4 linked regions of the Caenorhabditis elegans genome follow. The protein of the gene in region 1 interacts with the protein of each later gene in a pairwise test. Each region holds a gene or a part of one and is shown in the gene's direction. Other genes may lie near its edges. The genes, in order: src-2, C11E4.6, tag-325 and T11B7.1.

Region 1 (7,579 bases):
GCTAGCCAGCAACCGGCTAAATGAATTTCTTTCCGGCTTTTGGGTTTTTTACCTAATATTTTGTATTTTCATAGTTCTTATTATACAATTTTCGCCAAAGATAGAAAATGTAGTTTTCCTTTTAGGTCCCCCAATTTTAGATTATACTACTACTTTGGAACATAGTTTTTAGGCCTTTTTTAAAAGATTTTTTAGCTTTGGCTGAAAAACTCCTGGAACTGGGAATTTTGGCCCAGAAAATTGTGACGTCAACACGTTCTTAACCGTGCGACAACAGTTGGCGCATTTTTTGTAGATCACACCGTTATGGGACACTCTGACACCTTGTCGGAATATTGTTAGCCTAAAAAACTTTGATCCCTAAATTTTGTTGCTCACTTTATTCGAGAGAAATTTCAGTTTAAATTCTAGGCACTGAAATTATAATAGTTCTCGATTAATACTATGAGTTCCTTTCCTGCTTTATTGTAACCTTTTAGCTTGAAATTTTACTTTAAAAACTGAATTTTCTACTCTAGAAGATTGATATATTGAAAAAGTTGTAACTCATATATTATAATTTAGTGCCAATTTTACGGTCAAATTTTTTGATTTTTATTAGCTGACAACTTTTCATATTTTTCAGGATAAAATAGATATAGTAGTAGTCCAGAAAGTTATTTTTATGGCTCCTAGAAATCCATACAACTCTTTATTGGGGCTAGATGTCAAAAAGTTGTCAACTAAAAAAATGTAGCAAATTTTATGCGTAATGTATTGTTAGTTGACAACTTTTTTATATTTATTAATCTGAAGGTGTTATAGTCGATTTAATACAGCTAGTTAGTCCTAGCTTGCCCCTGAAACCCCATAACGAAGAAATATAAGAAAATTTCGCATTAAGTATTTTATTGGTTCACAAGTTTTGTGTTATTTCTTTTTTGAAACTAGTCCAAAATTATTTTTACTTGACTGATCATCTTAAAAATTTTTGCAAGTTTTCTTGGGCCCTTTTTTTTAATCGCTTACAAAGAAATGCTCCAGGCTCCTTTAAATTGTGCAGCAGACATTTATCGCTGCATTTTTCCAAATTCCCACCTAAAGTTTCGCTAAAAATGAATTTTCTGGATTTATAAACCCTGTAGCTCCCCAGCGTGTCAAGTAGTCAGAAAGTTTTTAACTGATAAAACGAAGTAAGCTTTGAAATCTACAATTTTTTAGTTGACCACTTTTTGATATATATATATCAAAAAATAGATTGACATACCAAAAAATAGATTGGCATATCAAAAAATAAATTGGCATATCAAAAAACAAATTGGCATATCAAAAAACAAATTGGCATATATATATATATATATATTTAAACGATTCATGGCAGTTTAACGCCCACACCTATTTTGCCCTGGCTCCTGGAAACCCCTATAACTATAACTTTAATTGGTGCTAGTGTCTATCAAAATGTTGTCAACTCACAAGTTGTAGTAAATTTAATTTTTTTGATCTACAATTTGCTAATTGACAATTTTAAAACGCTATATTTTGTCCAGCGAACCCTAATGAACCAGAACTATCTAAATTTCTTCCAGAACCTCCCAAATCAAAAAACTGACGACACCAGGATCGTCCGTTCCTCCCCATGGGATCCTGTATTGGAAAAGAGGATCCACCGCCTGGTGCAACGTCACCAGTCCACACGTCATCCACGTTGGGAAGGGAGTCACTGCCAAGTCATCCACGAATTCCGTCCATCGGTCCGATTGCGGCGTCTTCCAGTGGAAATACGATTGATAAAAATCAGAATATCTCGCAATCTGCGAATTTTGTCGCTTTATTCCAATATGATGCACGGACAGATGATGATTTGAGTTTTAAGAAGGATGATGTTAGTTTTTTATTTTATTTTTTGAAACTCCATATCTCATTCTTTCAGATCCTTGAAATTCTAAATGATACCCAAGGAGACTGGTGGTTCGCCAGGCACAAGGCAACTGGACGGACTGGGTATATCCCGTCGAATTATGTTGCCAGGGAGAAAAGTATCGAGTCACAGCCGTAAGTTTTTTTTTTTTTGAATTTTTAGCCAGCCTAGGGAGAGAGGCCGGACTTGAACTTGTGACCTCCAGATTGCTGGTGGTTACCACTACCTACTGAGCTATCCAGCGCCTCTTTGTTAGTTGTCACAGGGGCTTGATCAGGTGTAACTAAAACTGTCATAACTCCTTTGGCTTGTGAGATACAAAAAAATTGTCAACTAGCACATTGTAGAGCAGAAAATTTCCTACATTTTGTTAGTTTAAACTTTTTTGATAGCTAGCACCAGTGAAGAGTTATAGCACTTTAGAGGTGTCAGCGGGGAATCAGAGCAGGCGTAGAAATGGTTCAACTCTTTAAGTGTATTTTTACCGGCAAAAGTTGTCAACTGACAAAATGTTAATTGTAAAATTTACTACATTTTCGTATTTTGAACCTTTTCAGTAACTTAATGTTTGTAGAGTTACATAGCTTTAACGAAATTTTGAAAAAAATAACATTTTTACGAAACTTAGAAAAATTCCAACTCACATTAAAACCTTAAAACTCGAATAATTTTGTAGTTCACTGGTAGTAGTACCTAAAATCAAGTACTTAATATTCCCTATATTTTGTTAGTTGGCGACTTTTTAATATTATAGCTAACACCATTAAAAAGTTATAGGGATTTCTAGAAGAAATCCGTGTAGGCCTTAAAACTATGATAACTTTTTAAAATTGATTGATATCAAAAAGTTGGCAACTAGCAAACTGTAGAACATAAAATTTGCTACAATTTAATAGTTGACAACTTTTTAATAGCTTGCTTTATTGCAGAGTTACAGGGATTCAAAAAATAAGATTTTAAAAATCCGAAAATCTAAATTTTTACAAATTTCCAGGTGGTACTTTGGAAAAATGCGGCGAATCGATGCGGAAAAATGTCTATTGCACACTTTAAATGAGCACGGAGCATTTTTAGTGAGAGATTCCGAAAGTCGACAGCATGATTTATCATTATCAGGTCAGTGAACTTTTAAGGGCGCCCCATAGGGCACATGGCGGGCGAAAACCGGTTTTCTGGGAGAGATAATCAAGGTCGGATACAACAAAATGAGAAAGGCGCGGTGACAGTAAGAGGCAGAAAAGAGGTTATCCCCGCTCGCCCCGACCTTTTATGATTCCGAAAGTAATGGGAATTTGGGAGAAAGGAGGCAAATTGGGAGATTTTGATGGGTTTAGATGGGTAATTTGGGATGGGGGAATTTAGATGGAAACTGTCAAAAATAGATGGAATATACATAGATGTTTATTTAATTTTTAAAACTTTTTTTAAAAAATTCGAAAAATCATTTTCGATTTTTTTAAAAAAATTTTATTGAATTTTTTGCCAATAATTTTCTAATTTTTTAATAAATGTTTTTTGAAAAACTGATAGATTTCATTTTTTCTGAAAGTATTACAAAAAGTTTTTATCTTTATTTTCAATTTTACAATTCTGAAAAATTATAAAAAAATATGTATTTCGTGCTTTGTAGTTTGTAGTTTGTAGTTTGTAGTGTGTAGTTTGTAGTTTGTAGTTTGTAGTTTGTAGAAAACCTTTCAAAGCTCTTTTGAGAGTTACCAAAAAACGTTTTTTTGGGAATTTTGAATTTTTCAAATTTATAATATTTCAGTATTTTTTTTTCCTTTGTAACATTCCAAAAACTGTCAAAAAAAAAACAAACTCATCAAATTCCAAGTTTTCTTAAATTTGAAGATTGTAGTTTGTAGTCCAAAATCCCCCTATTAATCCCAATTTTCTTGCAGTCCGAGAGAACGACAGCGTAAAGCACTACCGTATCCGTCAACTGGACCACGGCGGGTATTTTATCGCCCGGAGGCGCCCGTTTGCCACGTTACACGACCTGATTGCACATTACCAACGAGAAGCCGATGGTCTTTGTGTGAATCTGGGAGCTCCTTGTGCCAAGTCAGAAGCCCCACAGACAACGACATTCACATATGGTAAGCTGGAAGTTTTTATGCCTGACAGGTGCCTACATCTGCCTAGATGCCTACTAGATACCTCGGTGCCTACTACATGCCTAGATACCTTTTTCATGCCTAGATACCTACGACATGCCTAGATACCTACTACGTGCCTAGATACCTACTACATACCTAGGTAACTGCTTGATGTCTAGATGCCTACTACATGTTTAGATACCAACTATATACCTAGGTAACTTATTGATGTCTAGATGCCTACCAAATGCCTTGATGCCTACTACGTGCCTATTAACCTACTACATTCCCAGATACCTACTGCATGTCTAGATACCTACTACGTGTCTAGATGCCTACCTGATACCTAGGTGCTTACTTAATGCCTAGATTCTTACCAAATGCCTAGATACCTACTACGTGCCTAGATACCTACTACTTGCCTAGATACCTACTACATACCTTGATACCTACTACATGCTTAGATACCTACTACAAACCTAGGTAAATCCAGTAGGCAAAAGGCGAACCTAATTCAGGCCAAAGTTGACTTAAAGGTAGGCAGGCATTATTGTGCCTACCTACTAGGCCAAACAATTCCAGGGACCCACAAGGCGCCCAGTTACCTTTAAAAATGTTCAAAATTCCCATTCCAGATGACCAATGGGAAGTGGACCGCCGTTCGGTTCGTCTCATTCGACAAATTGGAGCCGGGCAGTTTGGAGAGGTAAGCATCATCATTCTCTTTCGGTTGTTTGCTTATTCACGTTGCCTGCCTGCCCGCCAGCCCCACAGCCCGCCAAATAGTGTGCACAGGCTCATCCTCCTCCTCCTCCTCCTGTTGCCTATTCCGTTCGTGTTTGATGTATATTTGTGTGTGTGTGTGTGTGTGTGTGTGTGTGTGTATAGAGAATTGATGGAGAACGAGATAAACAGGAGAAGATATGCTAATTGAGTGGGGGTAAGGAGATGATCTTAGGGGAAAATTGCAGGGGGGGGGGGGGGGGGGTGGGTCCCCGATGCACCATGTGTAGCCCCAAATTACAATTGTTAGGGTAGAGCCTGAAAAATTTTAGGTTTTTTTGTAAAAAAAACCCCAAAAAATCGCATGAGCAAGAATTTTTCTTGATATTTCTAGGCGCACGGGGTTCTGGCCTTCCTTATTGATTTTTTCGCGCTCCATTGACCTGGACAACGCGTGGGAAAATCGTGCACTCCACACGGACAACTACAACAAGTTTTAAAACTAAAATCGAGCCGCGACGCGACACGCAACGCGCCGTAATTCTACCCCAGATATGGCCGATCCAAAATGGCCTTGTTCGGCAAACTCTTCCATCTCAATTTATGAGGGGAGCCAGAAATCCGTGTAGGCGCTACTTTACACTCAAAATAAAAAAAAACTGCGTGGCGTGTACTGCAGAAAACCTAATATTTAGGCCCCGCCTTTCTCTCGTCCACTTACGGAGAAACGGCAAAAATTTTGACCCCAACCAATATCAGGCCGCCAACATCTCACGGGTTCCGCGCGTCGCTGCGTTTAACTCGCAGCGGGCGGAGACAGCTCGTCACGCCCACAGCAAGTTAAACGCAGCGGCGCGCGAAACCCGTGAGATGTCGGCGGCCTGATATTGGTTAGGGTCAATATTTTTGCCTTTTCTCCGTGAGCGGACGAGAAAAAGGCGGGGCCTAAATATTAGTTTTTTATTTTGAGTGTAACTCCCAGAAACCTCTCAGCCTATGGACTAAAAAACTTCAGGCTTTTATTTTTCCGTGTTTTTCTTAATCCAGGGGCTTTTAGTGTAGATCCTAAAACAACCGGATAAAACGGTTTCCCCTTTTTCTATTGACTTTTCCATCTCCTGATCCGAGCAGCTACAGCCGCCAATATTGAAACAGATAGGACCGGTTTGAAACATGATATCACTCCCCTACAAACATCAGTTCCGCTAGGAGATCTCATAAAACGAAGGGATCTGGAACATAGAGATTTACCACTAGGGTTATAAGGAAATGTCGATGCACCATGAGTAAAAACTCAACCTCGAATATAGATAGCAAGGCCCTAAAATGAATGACAAATGTTCTCATTAGAGCGCACTTAAATTTGCAAGCATGAACGAAAATATGAGTTTTGTAAGAAATTTAATCTATGAAGCTTCAAAACCATGCGAAAAATGGCTAAACATACGAAAATTCTTACTACAGCTTACTAAAGTGTGTGTTTGAACTTTGAACTTTTTACCTAACCCCGCCCCCCCCCCCCTTATGCTTGCATGTTTAAGTGCGCTCTAGTGAGAACATTTGTCATTTTTTAATTAGAGCGCACTTGCAAATCAGCTTGCAGATCCTGGATGTACTACATAAACCATCAATTTCCAGGTATGGGAAGGCCGATGGAATGTGAACGTCCCCGTCGCTGTGAAAAAGCTAAAGGCCGGAACCGCAGATCCTACGGATTTCCTAGCCGAGGCACAGATTATGAAGAAGCTCCGGCATCCGAAGCTTCTGTCCCTGTATGCAGTCTGCACACGTGATGAGCCGATTCTTATAGTCACCGAGCTAATGCAGGAGAATCTGCTCACATTCTTACAGCGACGAGGTCGGCAGTGTCAGATGCCTCAGCTGGTGGAGATCTCGGCGCAGGTGAGGTTCACGTTCGGATTCCTCGAAATTAAAAAAAAATTTCAAAAAAAGTTTTGCAGGTTGCCGCTGGAATGGCCTACCTAGAGGAGATGAATTTCATCCATCGAGACCTAGCAGCACGAAACATCCTTATCAACAACTCCCTATCTGTAAAAATCGCAGATTTCGGGTTAGCCAGGATATTGATGAAGGAGAACGAGTACGAAGCAAGAACCGGAGCACGGTTTCCGATAAAATGGACGGCGCCCGAGGCGGCGAACTATAATCGATTCACAACCAAGTCGGATGTCTGGAGTTTTGGAATCCTGCTCACCGAGATTGTCACGTTCGGACGGTTACCCTATCCAGGTGAGGATTTGAACCGACCCGTTTGATCTACACGAATTGCGGAAATTTAGGCGCAGACTTTTCAACTGATTTCGCATGGTTAAGAGTGTGCTGACGTCACCATTTTCTGGGAGAAAAATTCCCGCATTTTTTGTAGATCAAGCCGCAATGAGACAGCCTGACACAACGTAAGATGGTCTCATTGCCGCATGACCTCCAGAAGTGGCGGGAATTTGAATTAAAAATTTTGACGTCATATGAGCTTTTTTGAAAACTAACATCCCGCCTTTTATTGAGGTCAAATTATTTTTTTTACAAAATGGTACCAGTTCGCTAATTATAAAAATTAAGTCCCTTATTGAAGGGGCCTTGAAAATTTCGCAAAACTTTGGGAATAGGTCGCGTCAACTAAAATGTGGAATATTCCTGCGCCCTTCGCCGTTTGATCTCCGGGAATCGCGGAAAATTCAAATTTTGAAAAATGCGATGTAGCCTAAGTTTTACTGTAGAACGTGGTGTCAGAGTGTCCCATTTCGGTTTGATCTACGTAGATCTACAAAAAATGCGCGGAGTTGAGACGCAGAGTTCTAAAGTGATTTTTAGAACGAAAAACTCCCGCATTTTTTGT
Region 2 (7,953 bases), on another chromosome or scaffold:
CACTCTTTTTTAAAAATGCAAATGATATAACCAAAACTTTTCGTGGGAGTTAATTAAGTTAAAAATATTTTTAAATAAATATATTATTTAATATATGGTGTACGGTTGAAATTGTAAGCCAAAGATTTTTTAATGTGCGGTGTGAACAACGAAACAGTTCCAAAAGTTTTTTGAAAAATCTCAGTTTTTAAAACTTCGAACTTGGGGATTTAATATAAAATATTTGGAAAACTACGAAATCGCATATCTGAACCGCCTCACTATAGTTTTTTTGATAACATTTTTCATACATTTGTGGTTTTCAATTTTTACTTGTCTAATTTTTATTTTGATTAACATAAGGACAATTTTTCTGTAGAAAGTGAGCAGAAATAATCAATTTTTTTTTTAAATCACATTGGAAACTAAATCCTCAACGCAATTTTAGATGTTTGAAGTGATATGTGTTTATTATTCACCTACATATGCAACACGTTGGAAACACTTATTACAACTTAACAGCACGGGTTTATCATTCTTCCTTCCTTCCACCTTCTCCTCTCAATTTCCACCCTTTATCTTCCCTTTACTGCACTTCATAAGTGCTTTTATCTCTTTTTCTTTTCCTCTCGATTTGCAGCATGTCATTATCTTTTTTGTCGTATATGTTTAAGTCAACGATTATTAACTTCAATTTAAGCATCGACCGTGTATCCTGTGCTATTATGTTTTTGTTGTTTGAGGCTATTTTGAAAAGTGCACAGCCTCCTCCGCATGTGCTCACTAGTTCTAATTGAATTTATCTGATTATTCGAGGAGAACCTTCTCAGATGCATAGAGTTGGTTTTTGTTCAAAAAATTTTTTCTTAGTCAGAAGTTAAATGTAATGTGCACCCATCACTGATCATAGTACATATGAATATAAAGTTTATTCAGCGAAGTTAAGGATTCTAACATGTAAAACAGCTGAATTATTTAAATTAGGAAAAATCGGTTAAAATCACCTTGAAAAATGTTGCCATATTGACTATAGCTATTAAGTAATAATTTTCTAAATGGAATTCATATTAATTCAGCTGGCAAATTTGGAAAAGTGTTTTGTCACCATCATGTTTTATTTTTATTTTTTGTAATTCAGTTAAATTGTTGGACGCTATGTTTTTTTGTTGAAGAATTGACACGAAATTCGTTAAAACTATAATTATCATTTTTTAAGAACATATCCGACAACTTTTCGTGAGAGCCATTGCAGTTTATAAAAGGTATCTTGTTCTAGTGGTACATTTTAGATGTAAACTCGCAAAGAGCTGATAATATGAGGAAAATCTTCACTATAATTTTTCACCTAAGAATATCCTTGATGACTACAACTCGAACTCAATTTTCCATAAGCTACTATTAAACTTTTTTTTCCTACATTGACCATTAGTAGTATTAGCTGTAGTTATATTCTTTGTTGTTGTTGTTGCATCCAATGCACTCCTAGACCGACAAAAATTGCAAAGAAGAAGAGGAGAAAAGAATGTGTAGTTTTGTGGAGTTGTGAGTGACCGGCCATCCACATTGCGCCCTTCCTATTCCCATCACCCTGCTTTCACCACTCTTGTCGAGATTTTGGTGAAAAGCGAGTAAAATGCAATACATTACGAGGCATTCTTCGCGCGGGAGGAAACCCGGGGACCCCCTTGCTTTTCATCTACAACACTCCCTTTTTCTACATATTTCGCATTTCCTATCTTTTTATGCATTACTACTTCTTGTGGACCCCTTGAGTAGCAAAATACAACTACATCTCAAAAAGAGAAAGTAAACAAGATTAAGACAAAAAACTATATGTGTTCACAAAATCTGTTCTTTCTCCTATATTCTATCCGTCTTTTTTGTTTCCTACTTTTCTTTTTGTTTTTTGACATGAACATCTGCTTTCTCTTTTGTCCTAAATTAAATTCTGAATCGATCATTTTACAGGAGCTCAGATGAAATGAGCCTCAAAGACTTTGTCATATCAAAAACCGAAGTAATCGATGCTTGTAAAAAAGGAGAATATGATAAAGTTGCGTTGTTTCTCAGCTCGAAAAAGGGCAAAAAGATTCGAAGCGGGCTGAAGTAATACTTATTTTCTAATTTTCAAATAAACTATTGATATTTTTCAGATTTTTCACAACGCGATCAGACAGTCATTGGCTCGCCGACTACAAAGATGAAAAATCTGACTTCACCTTACTCCATCATGCGGTTCTCGAGAATCAAAATCAAATCAGTAAACTCCTTATGGACTACGAACCACTTCTTTTACTGTGTAAAAGTACAAAAAATATTTTACCAATTCACTTGGCCGCCTGGAATGGGAACTTGGAGATTGTGAAAATGCTTCTTTTACAAACAATGGAAAAGCCCGCAGATATTCTGAATGCAGTGAACATTTTCAATGAAACTCCACTTCATCTTGCAGTTCAGAGATGTCATCTTGAAGTTGTGTTCTATTTGATAAAGGTAAGCAAAGATAACTTTGAGAATTAAAACTATTCGACTGTGAACAGGAACAACATTCATATCTATAATAAGTTATTCAATTTTGCAATGCGTTTGACGTTTGATTCTTGTATAGAGATTAAATTGTTGACAGATTTAACAATTGTTAGCTTGAAAAATCACGTATCGTTTCAATTTCCTTAAATTTCAGAAAAATGCCGACCCCTTCATTCGTAATGAAAACAAGGAAAATGTGATTGACGTTGCATCACGCATTGGATCTGCTGAAGCCATCAGAATGTTGTGCCAAAAATGGCCAAAGTTTCCTGTGCAGTCAGCATATGAGTCTCTTCGAGTTGGAACACCGGACATAAAACGGCCCTTTCCGGCCATATACCCATTTCACCTTGCAGCAAAGTATAATCACGTTGAGTGCATGCAAGTGAGTTGCTTTTTCCACTTTGCTATTCATTATTCAAGAATTGAGTATAAGAGTAAGGGTGATGCAGAATAGTTTACTCCTTGCGTGAATGTTGGTAGCAATTTGAGAATAGCAAAAAAACGGGGTTAATTTTCTGATAGGCGTGTTTCATATGAATCTGCAAGTTTGTACAATGTTTACAAATTTGAAATTCGAAATAGATTCGATAGTAACATGCTTATGATTTCATTTTCATAACTCATCCCAAAAAACGTTTAGTTTGAAATATAAACACTCAACAGATATTTTTTTGACTGTGCACTTATGCGTCACGGTGTTTGCGGTTTTCCAACAAAAAAAACTATATTTTCTGTAGTAAATATTTTGAAACACTACTATTTATTATTTGTATTTTTGTAGTTTAATCATAGGTTTATAAGACTCATATGTTCTGTAGATTTTTTTAGTTAAACAAACCCAATCAAATAATTTACTGTTTCACTTAAATGAAAAATGTACTAAATGTTTAATTTCAGGCTCTTCGTGAACATGGTTTCTCCATTAACTACACTACGGAAGATGGGACAGCTCTACATGTGGCTTCTGCTTGTGGACAGGCCGAGGCAGTCAGGTTTCTGCTGGAAATTGGCGTGAACACTGATATCAAAAATCAACACGGACAAACAGTGCTCCAAATGATCATCGATCTCCAGGAGAACCGAAGGAATGAAATCGCCCATTTTGTAAAAAATCCGGAAGGATGGAAGGAATGTAGAACAATTATCGAAGGAATGGATAGAAGAGACTCTGGAAGAGAAACCGAAGGAAGTCAAAGTGACAATGAAAGAGAAGCAATTTGGCAACCACTTCCAAGTCAAGCAAGCGGTGGGTTATTTTTAAAACTAATAATATGTGCATTGTAAGGAACATTTCGGTTATCAATCGAGTTAAGCTCAAAGTTCAAAATCTGAATGATAAATAAAGTTATTCACGATTTCAGTTCAAGTATACCCGGATCAACGAAGAAACAATCATTCCATCTACCAGCCACCTTCTATTTCTGCAAGACTGCGAGATTTATCCCCCGACGACTCTACAGAAGCTTTGAACAGTGTTCGATCAGAGGGGCCTTACACCACACACTCTATCAATCGTACATGGAACAGTTCCATGTTAGACAGAGCTCCAAGAACTGGAAGGTTCCCGTTGACATCGCCTAGTTATCACTCAAAGCATTATTCGTGTCAAAGATCCAGCGATACATTGCCAACGAGGCTGAAAAATGTTAGAACGAGGCCAACAGAAAAGCAAATAGGTAATCTATTATCGATATTCTGAGTTTACGGATTGACTTTATTTTCAGCTTCTGTACTCCCGGGAGATAATTGTGCATACAACTCTCCTTCAAAATTCAATGAATGGCAAAAGAGTCAACTGACCATTAGCAATCGTCCGCCAGCACCATATGACAACGTTCCGAACAACTCTGCAATATTCGTCCGCCCCAACTCACCAATAGCAAGATCTGCATCACTCCGTAGACAATCCGGATACGCAACACTTCCAAAACTTGCCACCTACTCTCCAAGAATTCCAGATCATGGTCGTCCTGACCTGAATGACGCCTTTATTCAAGACCCAGACAAAACAATGGATAGGTCATTGAATCGGAACCGTAAGTATAGGAAACGACTCTAATTAATATAAAATAAAGACTTTTAAGAGTTTTCTATTTCCCGAACTACGTGTGATCGTGAAGAATCGCTGGGATTGACGCAAAGTCCAAGACTGGACACCAGAGCAAGCAGCATAACATCATCCTTGACATACGCGTGCTCGACACTTGACAAAGGTAGGCATTTTAAGCAAAAATGGAATGATTTAGGGGCATACGACAACCTAAAAAATTTCTAGCATATGATGTACGAGTTGATAAGTTCGGGTAGATTATGAGAAAACGAATCTTCCAACACTGATCTCATGCTCGGTATCTTGTTAACTCTGAAAAAAAACTTTGGTCAATGACAAGGAAAAAATCATTTCCTAAACTTATGGAGTCCTGAAGTCAATCTAAATAAATGCAATTTCAGATAAGTTCTTCCGGGAACGCGAACGTGATAACGGCCGTGCACCATTGGCAATGCCAGAAGAAATAACAGGTTCAGTGACAGGCAGTGTCATTTACAGCCAAGGAAATGCGAATCAACATCTAAATGGGAATTATGAGAAAGACAACAATGTGACTGCAATTTTTTTAGAAGACGTGATGAGACCATCATCAAACTCTGCCGAGAGCCCACCTTCCCCAAACACCTCTAAAGCATTCATCTTTGACGCGTTATGTGGAAAATCTCGGCTGGTTGACTCTACAAATGTTGATTTCTTCTCTGGATTCTCGTCATCGTCAAATTTGAGCCACAGAAGCACTGAATCAACGTCGAAGGTGCAGATGAATAGCAGTTTCACTGAGCCGGAAGAGCCTGTCCGAATCCGCCGTCAAAATGGAACAACGAACCTTATGCTGAATTCACTTTCACCCACAGATAATTTGTCGTCCCCCTCATCAGACCAGAAATCAGACACGACCAGTGAAGAACCTAGTTGGGATAGGGTAAGTCGATCAGGGGACAAACCAATTTTTGTTTATTTTTTCGTAACAATGGCGTATCTGCAAAAAGCACACGGATTTTATGTTTCTCAACAGTTTCTCAATAGTCAGCTATTGTTAATGTAAAGAAAAACAGATCAGAAGTTTTTTTTAATGATAAAAACCTGCACTCGCTGTGCGGGCTTAATTCTTACGGTGTATTTGAAATACAGAGCCAGAAAAACTGTAATAGGTCAGTCTTTTTTGTGTATTTGCAAAGCTGGGTAGCGGGAATAAAACGCAGTAAAAAATAACGGCAGCGCCTAAACGTTTGTGCGTTTTTGGATTATCAGCATTAAACAACAAAAAACGATTTAAATGTCAATTCTATAATTTCAAATTTGAAAAAAGTGTCAGTGAAACTTTGTTAATTTTTTGTATAACAGGTGGAAAGTGTATTCGATTCGTTTGGTGCAGCTCCATGTCGTGAAAGTGTTTTTGTTCGTGAATACGAGCCACGTGTGGCAGTTTACTTACGTGATCGTGGGTCGAAAGCGTTGAGCGTAACACTTGTCGAGGATGAGTTCAGAGATCACAAGTCGCTTCTTGTAAAAAAGGTACTTTTAGTTACATTTTTGTTTCAACTTCCATTCATGTCACGTTTTACACCGGTTGTTCATGTTTCAGCAACCAAAAACAATAATTGAGTGGTTGGAAAGTGATGTTATGTTAGCCCCAGTAGCGGCTGATTCAGTTGGAGCACTTCTTCAAACTCATGGATATGATAGAATGGATCAACTAAAAGGGATAATAAATAGAAGTATCCTTACGGAAATCGGAGTAGATGACGTCACCAAGTTCAAGATAATGTCAGAGATTGAGAAATTGAAGGATGATGTTGCTAGTGCTGGTTGGTTTTTTTTTGAAACATAAAACACATTCATAAAACACATTTACTCTGCCGGAACATTTTAAGAAACCTTCATCAATTTTTCAAATCACTTTTCAATTCCAGGACGTTTCTTCTATGTTAGTGAATGGCTCAACTTCATCGGACTTCAAGATTACATTTCCAACTTTGTCGGTGCAGGATACAAGCATATGGCAAAATTGACAGAAATTGACTGGGACACGGCAAGATTGATGGTGAGTAAATTTGTTCAAATAACAACTTTTGTGATTTTAAGATACTTTTTATCACTGATTTCGCGTTTATTAATCAAAAAATATCCATAGACCTGTGATAATTGTTGCATATTTTTAATTTCAGCAACTCGGTGTTACTCGTCCTGGTCACATTGCTAGAATGCTCCATTCGTTCAAAAAAGCAGAAGACGAAAAAAGAAAAGAGTACAATAATCGACTACAGATTAAGCCATTAATGTCACCTCCTCCTCTGCCGCCAAGGTCAAAACAGTAAGTTTTTAATGAGAAATAATTTTCAAAAGAACAAACATTCAACAAGTTTCAGAAACAACTGTGCTGAATGCCCACAAGGCGATTTTGACAAGATCAAGAACAAGTTGCTGCAGGGCAACGTGGTGTATCGTGCACACCACCTCGGTGTTCTGGAAATTGGAGAAACCGAATGCTCTGATGAAGCTCATGCAGCTATGACAAGAATCAAAGAGTCGATAATTGACTGGGAGACTATTCCACGGGTTACTTTGGATTTGACTTGCAATGGAATCACTATCTTCGATGAAACTTTTAAGGTAATGATTAAATTATCACCTAATGGAATTGACAAATTGTAAAAGTTCAGCAGAACTGAGAAGCGGTTAAAGAATAAGGGGGTCGGGAAACAATAATTTAACGACTGATACACCTGCATTCGTTGCAGGAAAGTTATGACGTGAAAGTATTTCATAAAATCTGATTACTTATGAAATATACTTATACGATGTGAAAAAAACACAAAGATATTTTAATCGTATGGTATTTCGGAAATTGGATTTTAGAAATAGAACATCATATTTCTCGAACCGAGAATTCATATTTTGTTTGTGTTTATCAATTTTATCAATTGTATTTTCTCAGCAGACGTTAGAGGTTGAGACGTTTTTTGACTAGTCTAGGAAATTCGCCGCAATCGGATATCAGCTGTAGGCCACAAAAGACCACCCGCAATATTAATTTGATTAGAAAATCCGAAGCGTTGACAAACTTGCCCCCCGATTAATCTCAATGATTTTTTAGACTCTACTTGACGGCTATGGTGTCTATACAATAAGAGTCGTATGTCAGGATAGAAAGGATCTCAACTTCTTCTGCTTTGTTGCAAGGGACACTGAAAATCGTTTCTTTTGTCACACTTTCTGTGTGCTGACCTCGGTATTTCGCACAAATAATGCCTTAGAAAAGTTCATATTTCTAGGGAATTGCCGCAGAAATCATCACCACAATCGGAATGATGTTTGAGCTCAGAAGCAGAATGGACAAGTCTCTGCCAATCGAAGGAACAATGGTACGATGCCGGCATAACAGTCAGCAA
Region 3 (7,552 bases), on another chromosome or scaffold:
ATATCCTGTTTATGTGTTTTTGTAAAATTATTTTTTAATTAGTTTTAATAGTAACATTGTTTTTTTTATATTTTGGATGCGAGTCATTCACGAATTTTACTATAAATTTTTTTTCCGGTGCATTCTATTCTTGTTTCGCATAATTAAGAAAAATGTGTTCTGAAACATGAAAAAATATTTGTTAGCTTAAATAGCGTGACCCCTTTAGATGCAAAATTGTAGAGTAGCTGTGAGAGCTCTTCCGACGGGCCACTCAAATAATTGAAAGCGAAATGCAGTTTCTCTTTTTCTCTTCCCCAATGCATTCAGTTTCCTATTTCTCTGCCATGTCAAGATTGGCATCAAACGATGTTCGAATATGGGGGAAAACTGGGGCGGTCGGCTTGTGCACACAGACAGACCCATAAAACATGAATTTATTATTCTACGCGCACGCAAAACGTGGCACTATAGAGACTAAGAAACTGCAGGAAATTCGTTTTGAAGATGAGATAACATCAACGAACGGTGTAAAACATAGAGACAAAAAGTGCTCTGGATAACGACGCGCTATATAAGATTGACCCTTAAGGGTAAAAGAATTCTTATCCAAAAATGTTCTCCAATATTGATTTTTAAGAGAATATTATATTTCTATGCTGTCTAGTGAATAGTTTTTCAATTTGGCACATTATTTAGTAAAATATGTTGAAATAATGAAACTATTTATTAAAACAAATTTTTGAAGTCTAAAAAGAGCCTTTTCACTAGCTAAACCAGTAAATACCTCTAGTCACGGCACTATCAGGTTTGTACAATGACTGTATTTCTTTAAATCGATTGTCGTCTGTTCGTGTGTCTGTATCTCCAATATTTAGCCCCAAGACACTGTCTCTAACCTCCCGAATGAGTGAGAGAACACACGGCGAGTTTTTTCTGTATCACTGTCTGCGTATCTTACTCTTCCATTCTGTGTTCTCTTTTCTCCAGTCGGGACAAGGGAAATACGACGGCCGGATGAGTCATCCCGTGTGTGCCTCCTTGTGATGGTTTTTTTGGTGCTTTTCTGTTGGAATTGTACAAAATTTTAAATTAAAACTGATTTATAAATAATTTCAGCTAATTTTGAAATTGGACAGCTGAAATGAAACAAAAAATCGGAAATTTTGCTTATCAATTCCGTTGGTTGATTAAAATATGTTTCATTTTAAAAATATTTCGTAAGATATTCTTATGGGTATAAAGTTACGAAATGTTCAGAAAGTCACGGAAATTCGAGAGAATCGATTCAAGTGGAAAGAAATGTATCAAGTTTCTTAGATATTTAGAATACTTAATTGTTGTCTTCTTCTCTTTTCGAACATTATTTAATTATCTTAACAACCTAATTATAATTTTTGTTTTCCCATTTCCGGATCAATCTGCTTTATTAAATATTTCGGTTTTGTTCTATAAACACTGTAAAAACAAAGTCAATGGTCACATGATCTTTCTCTTCTTTTCCTCTCCTTACCATGCTCTCCCTCTCCGAATATTTTAGCAATTCGTCCTTTTTGCAGTTCGTTATCATTCTCTTCAATGCCTCTCCGGTGGTGTTAAAAGTGATTTATTATCGATTTTGTTCGTCGGATGATGACCACCGCTGTTCAGCCGTCAGATACAACTGGATTCGGCGGAGGACCCGCTGGATCAAGAGCTTCGGATCTTATTCAGTTCCAAGAAATTGTTAGTTTTTCTCTCTCATCGAACGCGAGAAAAATAATTTTATTCATTACAGATGTCCGAATCGGCCGAATCCTCTTCGTCATCTAGTCAAACGAATGTTAGCGCCGCGAACACATTGCCACGTGAAAGTAATGGACAGAATTACGCTGACGATCCATCACATGTGTATACAAATATCAGAGAAATCGAAGAATTAAACAGGTACGGGAAATATCTGAAATGATTCAGGTTTAGTTATAATGTTTTGAAAAATTGGAATTAGTGTGCAAATCGTGGGTGAAGCATTTGAAAAAGAGGTCAAAAATGGTTTGAAACTTGCCAATCTCTGAAAAATTAAGTTCGATAATTGGTAAATGACAATTTCAGACTATGTTTAAGCACTTTTTCAAATTCTTTCGTCAAATTGAATTCTTATTTTCAATTATATCTATTATTTTTCCATATTTTCTCACTAATATTTATGAAAAAATGTTGGAACAACACCTGGAGCATTTTTTTAATCACTGATGATTATTTAATTTTCATTTTTGATTCTAAAATCATCATAAAACATTTTTAAAAGCTTCAGCCGACCGGTTCCACCGACTCCGCGAGCCGACGCGCAGCCCCGTAGAGATCTTCTAAATGGTTGGTTTGAATACGAGACCGACGTCGGACGGACATTTTTCTTCAATAAAGAAACTGGAAAAAGTCAATGGATTCCACCGAGGTTTATCAGAACACCCGCACAAGTTCAGGTATTATTTTTTACTTTTAAAAAATTAAAATCTGGTAAGATGTTATAATTTCATTCAGTTTTCAATTTTCAGGAATTTCTTCGTGCAACAAGAACGAATCTAGATACTACATGCAGTTTTCAAGGATCCTCGACATCTTCATCAGAAGAACAAAAAGAGAACAAAATGCGTGAATCTTTAGCTGATGACGACAGAAAAAGTCAATTGATAGAAGATGAAGAAGTGTTTGATGAAGTTTGCGATGACGTGGATGAACAATCATCACCTGTAATTGATCTTCAATCACGGCCTCTTCCAATTCCATTCTCTGACAGTTTTACGGATGATGAAGATGAAGATGATGTGAAACCTATAGAAGGATCCATAGCTTCAGATTCCGATTTTGACGAAGAACCTGTTCCAACATCATCAAGAAAAGCTTCTACAGCATCCGGAGTAATGATGCCACATCCCTATGCACATGTTTCTTCGTTTCAATCAACGTTTCCAAGGTTGGTTTTACAAAATTTGTAATAGTGGAGCAAAACGAAAAAAAAATCATTAAGTTTGAAACATGGCTAACTTTAGTGAATTTTCAGTTGTGCCTCATTTGAATTACCGCGCCTCGAAACTCCGCTAATTTTTCCGTTTTTCACTTCGATTTTCTCGACTGGTTCAGACAAAAATAATATTTTAGGCGAAACGTAACTGCCATTATAGGCATAAAACCTTCCTTTTCACTTGAAAATTCAAGGAAAATGAAGAACTTGCGGCAGTATTGAGAACTACAGATGCAAAAAAAGTTATCGGCATTTGAGATCAACCTGAGTATTTTTGAGTGAAATTCCCATCGACGCTACCCCTAAATTCAATAATGTTATATCCTATCACTAAAGTTACATTTTTAGGGCCAAAAATGAAGACACTGACAAATTGGCTTCGTATGTGATTCCCCCAGATGCCAATGAAACATCAAAAACTCCCACCGCAATCCGTGTCCGTCGTCCATCTCCGACGAACCTAAGATCGGTCTCATTTCAGAACAAATGTACAGTTCTAAAAAATGTTCCAATGCCACAAGTGCTGCCGACAACCTCATCAAGTTTCGATCACCATCCGCAATATCACTCTAATACGCCGGATCGGCCGATCCTTATGGAAGATTCTGCCGATTTTACACCATCATCACGATGTGAAGAACGTCGAGGTAGTGGTGATGGACGTGAACCTGTTCGAACGATTCGATGCGGTGATTTGGAAAGAAGTGAAAATGATGAACCAGCAGAGAAAGTTGTAAAGCCAAAAAAACGTGAATGGATCACGAACTACATGTATTTAACAACGGCTCATCTCATTTTGTATAAAGACCAAAAAAGTGCAGAGGTAGTTTTTTTTATGTTGTTGATAATTAACGCAGAAAAAAAGATTTAAGAAATTTTAACAAAATGTGCAGAGATGATGTATTATTGTCTGCTTTTTGGAAGTTTTTCTGAAAATGATCTGAAAATGTTTCATCCACCTCGGTCAAAAAATTGCACTCTTCTTCAGAAACTAAAAATTTCAAAAAGCTTCCGAAATGTTTGCTTATCTCTAAACAGCTTAAAAATGATCCGAAGTTTGCAAAAATCCACTTTTGGAACAACTCGACTGATCATAAAAGTAGTTGAAAAGTTTGTTGATAAAGTTCAGATGGTTCGAGTGGAGTTTTTGCAGCTTAAATATTTATATACATATATATCAGCTCAGCCTAAACATAATGTTTCAAATTGAAGTGCCATATTTTGTATATATTTATTTCCTTTCCTTGTCAGTAGATCAACCAATACCAAATAGTTGTCAACTTTCAGAAACACGGAAAACATTATGATGCTCCACAAGGAGTATGGGATTTACGAGGAGCAAGTGTGACATGGTATCAAGACAATCGGGATGTACAAAAGAAGAAACAACGGAAATATATTCAATTAGAGCTGTGTAACACGAAGAAATACCTGTTACGAGGTCCCAATGACACGGAAGCCGTCGAATGGTACAAGTCACTGGAAGAAGTTGTCGCAAAGCTTGTAAGATTTCTTTATTTGAAAATTATCCAGAAAATAGACAAAAAAAATCAAGTGTTTTTGTTTCATTTTTCTTTTTCTCCCGCCCTTGGCAGGTACAATTAAGAGATTATTCGGCTATAAGCTACTTTGCCAAGTTGTTTCCAACTTTCTCAAGACTGTAGAAATAAGAATTCACGGCCGAAGTTTTTCTCCGTCTATTATTGCAAAGTTTTTACTTGTTGTGTATTCTCAAAAAAGTACCATGTGGCATACTGCTTGCTCCAGAGTCCGAATGTTGAGCCTGCAACGGTCAAATAGTGAGGTGATTCATGGGAGAAAATTCTGAAAATCCTATTAAGCTGGATTTTCGCTTGAAAAATATCTAACCCGGTCTCAACACGACCGAAAATGCTGAAATGAAACAGTGTGTGCGCCTTTGATAATTACAGTAGTCCCGCTATTTTACCATTTTCCTGCCTTTTCGTCTAAAACCTTTTTTTCCTTTTTTTTTTGTGACACTAATCAAAAAATATTGAAATTATAAAAAATCTATCTAGGAAAATTAAATAAATCTTGCTGTTTTTCAATTTTCTTCGACTTATCTTTTTTTTTTTAATTGTGCATACAATTTCACACAATAAAAGGTTTTTTGAGAAAAACGAGAAAAATGGACTATTGTACTTCTTAAAGGCGCACAACTTTTTTCATTTAAACCTATTCGATCGCGTCGAGACCGTATACTGTTTTTTGCATCCGATTATAGATTTCAAGACTATGTATATCGTTTCAGCCGTCTCCTGGCTCTTCAAACCAACCGATGATTGATGTAACAAATGGCGTTGCTCGTAATCCGTCATACATTGGCAGCACGCGTCCACTTTCCCATGCATTAATTCCAATGTGAGTTTTTTTTTCAAAAAAAAAAAAATTGAATTCAAAATTCTGAGAGAACCATGTCTTATTGAAAATGTTTTGTTTTTTAAGAAGCCGAAGTATGCGACGACGTGATGATCCAATGTCACAATCTGCAATTGAAACGGTATCGACAAGTGTATCAACTGATGAACCAAGACCATCAAAAGAGACGATCATTGAGAAGTTGAGAAGATTCTTCCGAACACGCCCTACAGTGGAAAGTCTTAAAGAGAAGGGAATATATAAACGTAAGATTGGAAATATATGCAAACCAGCCGTGGACCGCACCTACGGCGCGGCCCCCGACTTTTTTTTTTGAGAAAATACAATTATCATAAGGTTTCCCAAATTTCCGTTGCTCTGTCAAAAATCAAACTACATAGTGACGGAACGACACGCGCTTTATATATAGTAAATTGATATTGAAATAAGAATCATTTCAGCTGAACCAGTATTCGGATCAACTCTTTCTGCAATCTGTCAACATGAAAACTCGTTGGTACCGAAGTTTATTAGAGTTATCACTGAAGTTATTGAGAGTAAAGGATTGGAGACAGATGGAATTTATCGGTTAGTTTATGAAATTGGAAAAAAATTACATGAAGTGTCGCCATTTTGTGAAAAAATGACCAAATGCCATAACAAAACACATCTAAAAATTTATTTACTATCAAAAGGGGTAGACCTAATAATTTTTTCCGAAAAACATTACCCAGATGCGAACTGTTTGCGTTGAAAAAACTTTTCCCGGTCTCGACACGATTTTTTAAAATTTAAATGATTGTGTGCCTTTAAAAAGTACTGTAATTTCCAACTCACAGTTGCTGCGGTTTTTCGATTAAAATTTATTTATTTGTATTCAAAAAAATTATGAAAAATCAACATCAAAATTACTGTATTTTTTAAAGGCACACTTTAAAAATTATAGTTTTGGAATATCTTTAAAAAATTTGAACTGTTACGAGAGTATTCTCTAACTGTATTTTCAGTTTTTTAAAGGATGACTACCAAATAAAAATAGCATTGAAACTTGAAATTTCTTATTTCAGAGTGAGTGGAAACCTGTCCGCAGTCCAAAAAATTCGATGTCAAGCTGATCAAGACAATTATAAAGCTCTTGTGTCTGAAGAAGATATTCATGTTCTTACTGGTGCTCTTAAACTCTTTTTCCGAGAGCTAACCGATCCACTTTTCCCAATTTCTCTTCATAAGGAATACACATCAGCTATGCGTAAGTTTTTTTTTTGAAGTTTTAAAATGTCCTAAACCAATTTTCTATTCCAGAAATGCCCAACGCGACCACTCGTTTCAAAAAATTCGAAGAACTTCTAAGTCGACTTCCAAACGAGAATCGTGAAACATTGAAAATGTTACTTCGTCATTTGAATCGTGTAGCCTCGCATTCATCACAAAATCGAATGCAACAACATAATCTTGCTATTGTTTTTGGTCCAACACTATTCCATAATGGTGATGGAGCCGTGAATTTGGCAACCAAAAATAAGAAAGCTGGAAAGAAGGCGAAACCTTCGAAAAAGGTTTGTAAAACTTCATTTATTGAGAATGGAGTGAAAAATCTTTAAAAAATTGATATAACATATCATTAAACAAATTTTGAAATTTTTTACAGTTATAATTGGTCATTACCGTTCATTTTCTATATTCACCAAATTATTTGTAATTTAAGTTATTGAAAATTGAGTCAAAACTCAAAAACCAACTGATATTCCTTGTTTAAAATACTTATAATTTCCAGGAAGAAACTCAAGCAACTCCTGTCCAATCGAATTCTCATCTCGCCTTCTCAATGATTATGCAATCCCAAATTGTTCAATATCTTCTCGAATCGGCCAACAAATTTGATATTCTCAAAGCTCCAGTCAATATTGGACGATAATCTATAGATTTTTCAAATTTTCCAAAAGAGTTGTGACCTTATTTCTCACCGTTTCACTTTGGGTGTTTTATCGCCGAAAAATGGGTATTACTTTTATCGTTTTCTCTTATTTTCTTTCTACTTTTTTTTCCTTGACTTTCGGGATTTGATCAATTAATGTTGTAAATATGTACTGTAATATTCATTTTCCTCAACACATTTTCAGTATGCTAGTCTTTTTTTTTCATCCGTTTACTTATTACAGTCTTCTCCTTTTACGCTTTATTCTTTTTTTATGT
Region 4 (4,357 bases), on another chromosome or scaffold:
AGAACTGGAAGATACCAAACAGAAGCTAGTCGAGGCTGAAAATTCGGCTTCAGGATGGAATGATGATGATGCGTGGAACAAAAATGAAAATGAAATTGAAGAAGTAAAGAAGGCATTGGAAATCGAGATTTCAAATAGGAATGATACTATTGTGAAACTTCAAAATCTTGTCTCTAATCTACGGCAACAGCTTATCGAGGCATCCGAATCGGCTGATCTGAAGTCTCTGGAAGAGTTGGAACAGTTAAAAGAAGAACTTCGCATTGTTTCGGAGCAGAATGGATTGCTTAAGGATTCGGAAGCTCGATTATTGGATCACGCTGACGAGTTCGCCGTTCAAATGGACAAGTATCGTGAGAAATGCGAAGTTCTGACAGCAAAAATTGCAGAACTGGAAGCACAACTTCAGAATCCTGCTGAAGAAGATCAACAGCAGAAGACATCAAACGTCGAGCTAGTCAAGCTGAGGTGAGTTAAATCTTTTTAACGTTTAAATGAATTGGTGTATAGAACGAAATTTTATTTTAAACTAAAGTATTTGATAGCATGTTCCGGACATGTGAAAATCGAAAAAATAAAGTAACACACAATCAGAAAATTAAATATAGATTTATATTAATATTATTTCAGACAACAACTTGCAAATGCTCAACAGGATATGCGAGTTCAAAATCTGACGATTTCTGATCGTGAAGGTCTTATCGCGGAGTATCGTCATCAAATTGCCGAGCAGACCAAGACAATTGAAGAACTTCACTTGAAACTAAAAACCTTCTCAGCGGCGGCTCGTCGAACTTCTCCACGAGTGCCAATGTCATCGAATGTACCAGCTCTCTCATCCCGCCCATCATCCAGAATGTCAACGTCGTCACGAATCTCAACCGCGTCTTCGTTTGTGCCAGAATCCGTGGCAGTACCACTACAATCAACTGGATCAGCGTTTGATGTCGTCGTACGACAGGTATAAATTTAGCTTTTCATATGATTTCCAGATGCCCAAAACCTAATTGATCACGTTTTCAAACTTAAATTCTTCTGAAAATGTTATCTATGTTACCTTCAAACATTTTTTATGGCGACATCTAAAATAGTGGTATTTCGAAAAAAAATCTCATTGTACATTCGGCCGATATCGGATGCGATACACAAAACCAAGTAATCAATATTACTTACAGAGTGGCGAGCCTCTTCGACGTCGTAACAAATAGATGAGATGACCCCTGTACGTTGCCCGTGGAGAGTGTGGTTCACTGTTTCTTCCAACACTACAAATCTCCAACATACCATTCATTTGCATTCGGTGTTTTCTCCCTCCCTCTTCTCGTTTTTAATCTTTTTTACTTTTATTCTAGGTCTGTCAGTTCTGTAGGATCCCTAATTAAGTAACTTTTCCTCAAGTATTTTTTAATGTATATTCGTAGATCTGCTAAACCTAAATTGAATCGATAATTTTTGGAAACCTTCTTTTCGAGTCGATAATATACATGAGCGTTCTGTTTTATAGTTTTCATCCAGATGACTTGCCCATACGTCATCGTCAAGAGATGACTGATTAATTTATTATTTTTTACATCCAAAGTGCCTTGATATCGGTAGCTAATCGAGTTTTTTGAAGGGTTTTCATTTGTTTTCTTGTTTATAATGCACGAATTGTATGGAAATGATTGTAGTTATGATATTATAAGATATGAATACGGTTTCATTTAACTTCTTTTTTTTAAATCTGTTTTAGTGCAAGGATTTTGGATTTTCAGAGAGTAATGTCAGGAATCAAACCAAGTGTTTCAAAAGGAGAAAGTCAAGCACCGCAAACAAGACAATTGGAAGGTAAACATTTTTGAAATCACAGTGTTTCATAACAGGAATGATATTATTTCTGACGTTTTTTTTTGTATAATTAATCGAAGCTGTCACATCGCCTCGCGCACGCGTGTATGATAGGTTCCATTCGCAATTTGTTCCTGGAAAATTACGGAGAATGAAAGAAAAAGTGTGACGTCATGCGGGTTTTTCTACTTGCGTTTTATGTATCCCGTCTGAAAATCTGAAACATCGATAGTCACGCAGTCCTCTGAATACTTTTCCTCGTGAATGTATATTAAATTTCAGCGTCTAAGCCTACAGTTCAAGGAATAATTGATATTCTTCATGATACCATAAGCTATGTCCAAGTTGAGAAACAAAGTAAAACTATTAATTTTTCCATTCCTCATTTGCAAATGATTAAAGAACAGCTTGAAAGTATTCAATTAAAAGATAAAAACTACAAGGATTTGGAAAAAAAGTTCAATGAAAAACAGGATGAACATTTGGAAACGTAAGTATACTGTTTTTTCGTAATTTTTGTAAGATTAAACTTGTTTCAGAATCCAGAAGTTAGATTCAACACTCAGCCGTCAGAAGCTTAAGTATGATGATATGAGACAGGCACTTTCTGTAAAAATCTATACACTCGAGAATGAATGTTCCAATTTGCAAGACAACTATGCTGACTTGCAAAATGATTTTGAAGTTCAAATTGAAAAATTCAAAAAACTTCAAAACTTGAAAAGTATTCAAAATCACGAGAATTCAAAAAATGTGAATCCTCTAACATTGGATGAGCTCACCGAACAGTTGAAACAATTCAAAGAAGAACTAAGTATTGATCAGAAACTGAAAAATATTCAGTTAACTTGTGAAGGACTACAGTCAGCTGTTGGAAATTTTGAAATGAATTCGAAAAAAGCTAAGGAAATTGAAATTCTTAAAATGGATATAAAGAAGACACAAGAGCTCTATGAATCAAGGTAACTATGTTTATCTGTATAGTCGACCGAAAACATAACATGCACTGCCATCGAGATATAGTAATCTGTTTGGCAGTGTAAGAACAAACATTTTATGTTTCGTAATTACTTTTTCCAGACTGCTCAGGGCTGCTCAAGAAAACAAGAAACTGCTCAGAAAAAACGATACATTGAAAAACTATCTTGATAATCAAACAGCGAAAATTGGAGAGCTCACAGCTGGAAACAAAACAGAGAATCGTTCACCAACTCCAACATTGCAGGGACTTATTGAAATTCTTCAAAAGTTTTCAGACGATCAAAAACTTGAACCAGAATGTAAGATGCTGCAGTTGCATAAAGAGGAGTGTCGTTTGATTTTGGAAAGTCTTGAAGTGCACGATAAGAAAGATCAAGAGATTCAGTGGTTCCAAAGACAAATTAACGATCAGAAAAAAAGGTAAGTTTTGACGAAACATTTATATTTTGTTGATCTTAAAAACACATAAAAATTATTACAGAATCGCTAATCTTGGTTGGTCATACGAAAATGCTCTTGAAGATAAGGATGCTCTAGAATTAAAGCTTGAACATCAATACGAGCAGATGATGGAATTGAAAAAGAATTTCATTCCGAAAAACGAAATTTCTGAGGATTTGGCGAAGACTGTCAGAAATTTTGGAAAACGTCTCAGAAATTCTCGAGGAAATTTGAAGAATGCGTTCAAAGAATTAGAAGCTTTAAAAGAAGTTCAAGAGGAAGAAGGCTCATCAGATGAAAGTTCTGAAAGCAGCGCTTCTGATGATTTACCAGATGGTGACAGCTCGTCAGAGGAATAGCATCGAATCAGAAAATTGAGATTTCATTGAAATTAAATGTACCTTCTTACAATGACTAATATTTTAAAAAATTTTAACTATTCACAAATCAACGATTTTCTTGTTATTCGCTCTACGATATATCATGATTTCCCATTTATCCGACTTTCTCTTTGTTTTCAAATTTTCTTGATTATTCTGATTAACTTTACACTGTTCCAACTGTTCTTGTTTCTGAAATAAAATCTTCCAATAAGTCCTTCCAAGAACCAAAGACAAACTTATGTATAAAAAATGTCACAATTATAACAGCTGCGGACGAGCCCGAACAGGTTGAAAGTCTTTCTCAACCTGTGGACAAATGACGGTCCAACAGCCGGTAATGGACCTAAGACGGCCTTCAGTTTGCCCGCTATAAAACCGTACGTATTAGCCAGCGGTGGGCCACTTTTCACTGTTGCCGCTTCAAATTTGTCATGGCTTGGAATGGATAGAAGATTGTTGAGACGATGGGTATATCAGATTTCTTATTCTGTTCGTAAAGTCTGGATCATTTTGAGATTATTCTGCGTCTAATGATACAATTATCTTATTTATGTTCCTCGAGGGTGTCATTTTTCCATGCTATCGATTTTTTAGACAATCATAAATGTTGTTAGGTTGACCGAAGGCGCTGGAAGATGATGAACATGCCCTAAATTTTTGACTTTTGACAAGCCAAAGTTTACATTTCTGTTCATTAGATCTTTGAAAGCAATTTGATTTTTGTA

What was found.
Region 2: the proteins of src-2 (region 1) and C11E4.6 interact in a two-hybrid assay, tested with the Caenorhabditis elegans proteins (one large-scale study listed by BioGRID).
Region 3: the proteins of src-2 (region 1) and tag-325 interact in a two-hybrid assay, tested with the Caenorhabditis elegans proteins (one large-scale study listed by BioGRID).
Region 4: the proteins of src-2 (region 1) and T11B7.1 interact in a two-hybrid assay, tested with the Caenorhabditis elegans proteins (one large-scale study listed by BioGRID).

Annotation. Positions count from the first base shown.
Region 1 is NC_003279.8:14,320,669-14,328,247, forward strand, and holds the start of src-2 (Tyrosine protein-kinase src-2), read left to right. Parts: upstream 1-1,568; 5' UTR 1,569-1,618; coding exon 1,619-1,864; intron 1,865-1,912; coding exon 1,913-2,034; intron 2,035-2,894; coding exon 2,895-3,016; intron 3,017-3,801; coding exon 3,802-3,999; intron 4,000-4,634; coding exon 4,635-4,705; intron 4,706-6,360; coding exon 6,361-6,624; intron 6,625-6,683; coding exon 6,684-6,972; intron 6,973-7,579. UniProt on the Caenorhabditis elegans protein: Non-receptor tyrosine-protein kinase which may play a role in larval and pharynx development. Unlike src-1, does not play a role in embryonic development.
Region 2 is NC_003284.9:9,608,616-9,616,568, forward strand, and holds the start of C11E4.6 (ANK_REP_REGION domain-containing protein), read left to right. Parts: upstream 1-1,947; 5' UTR 1,948-1,960; coding exon 1,961-2,085; intron 2,086-2,132; coding exon 2,133-2,472; intron 2,473-2,662; coding exon 2,663-2,893; intron 2,894-3,408; coding exon 3,409-3,757; intron 3,758-3,872; coding exon 3,873-4,187; intron 4,188-4,235; coding exon 4,236-4,547; intron 4,548-4,595; coding exon 4,596-4,724; intron 4,725-4,962; coding exon 4,963-5,483; intron 5,484-5,905; coding exon 5,906-6,076; intron 6,077-6,146; coding exon 6,147-6,369; intron 6,370-6,474; coding exon 6,475-6,605; intron 6,606-6,729; coding exon 6,730-6,875; intron 6,876-6,930; coding exon 6,931-7,174; intron 7,175-7,658; coding exon 7,659-7,793; intron 7,794-7,836; coding exon 7,837-7,953.
Region 3 is NC_003281.10:4,795,303-4,802,854, forward strand, and holds the start of tag-325 (WW domain-containing protein tag-325), read left to right. Parts: upstream 1-1,536; 5' UTR 1,537-1,608; coding exon 1,609-1,704; intron 1,705-1,756; coding exon 1,757-1,905; intron 1,906-2,266; coding exon 2,267-2,441; intron 2,442-2,513; coding exon 2,514-2,932; intron 2,933-3,328; coding exon 3,329-3,803; intron 3,804-4,267; coding exon 4,268-4,483; intron 4,484-5,252; coding exon 5,253-5,362; intron 5,363-5,446; coding exon 5,447-5,625; intron 5,626-5,820; coding exon 5,821-5,947; intron 5,948-6,426; coding exon 6,427-6,608; intron 6,609-6,661; coding exon 6,662-6,915; intron 6,916-7,133; coding exon 7,134-7,274; 3' UTR 7,275-7,552.
Region 4 is NC_003282.8:8,838,965-8,843,321, forward strand, and holds T11B7.1 (Centrosomal protein of 162 kDa), read left to right. Parts: upstream 1-1,752; 5' UTR 1,753-1,760; coding exon 1,761-1,827; intron 1,828-2,109; coding exon 2,110-2,317; intron 2,318-2,366; coding exon 2,367-2,789; intron 2,790-2,907; coding exon 2,908-3,228; intron 3,229-3,289; coding exon 3,290-3,608; 3' UTR 3,609-3,841; downstream 3,842-4,357. Other genes in the region: T28C6.7 (Kinesin motor domain-containing protein), read left to right, coding at 1-468, 631-961, 1,176-1,208; T28C6.11 (uncharacterized protein), read right to left, coding at 699-919, 1,174-1,297.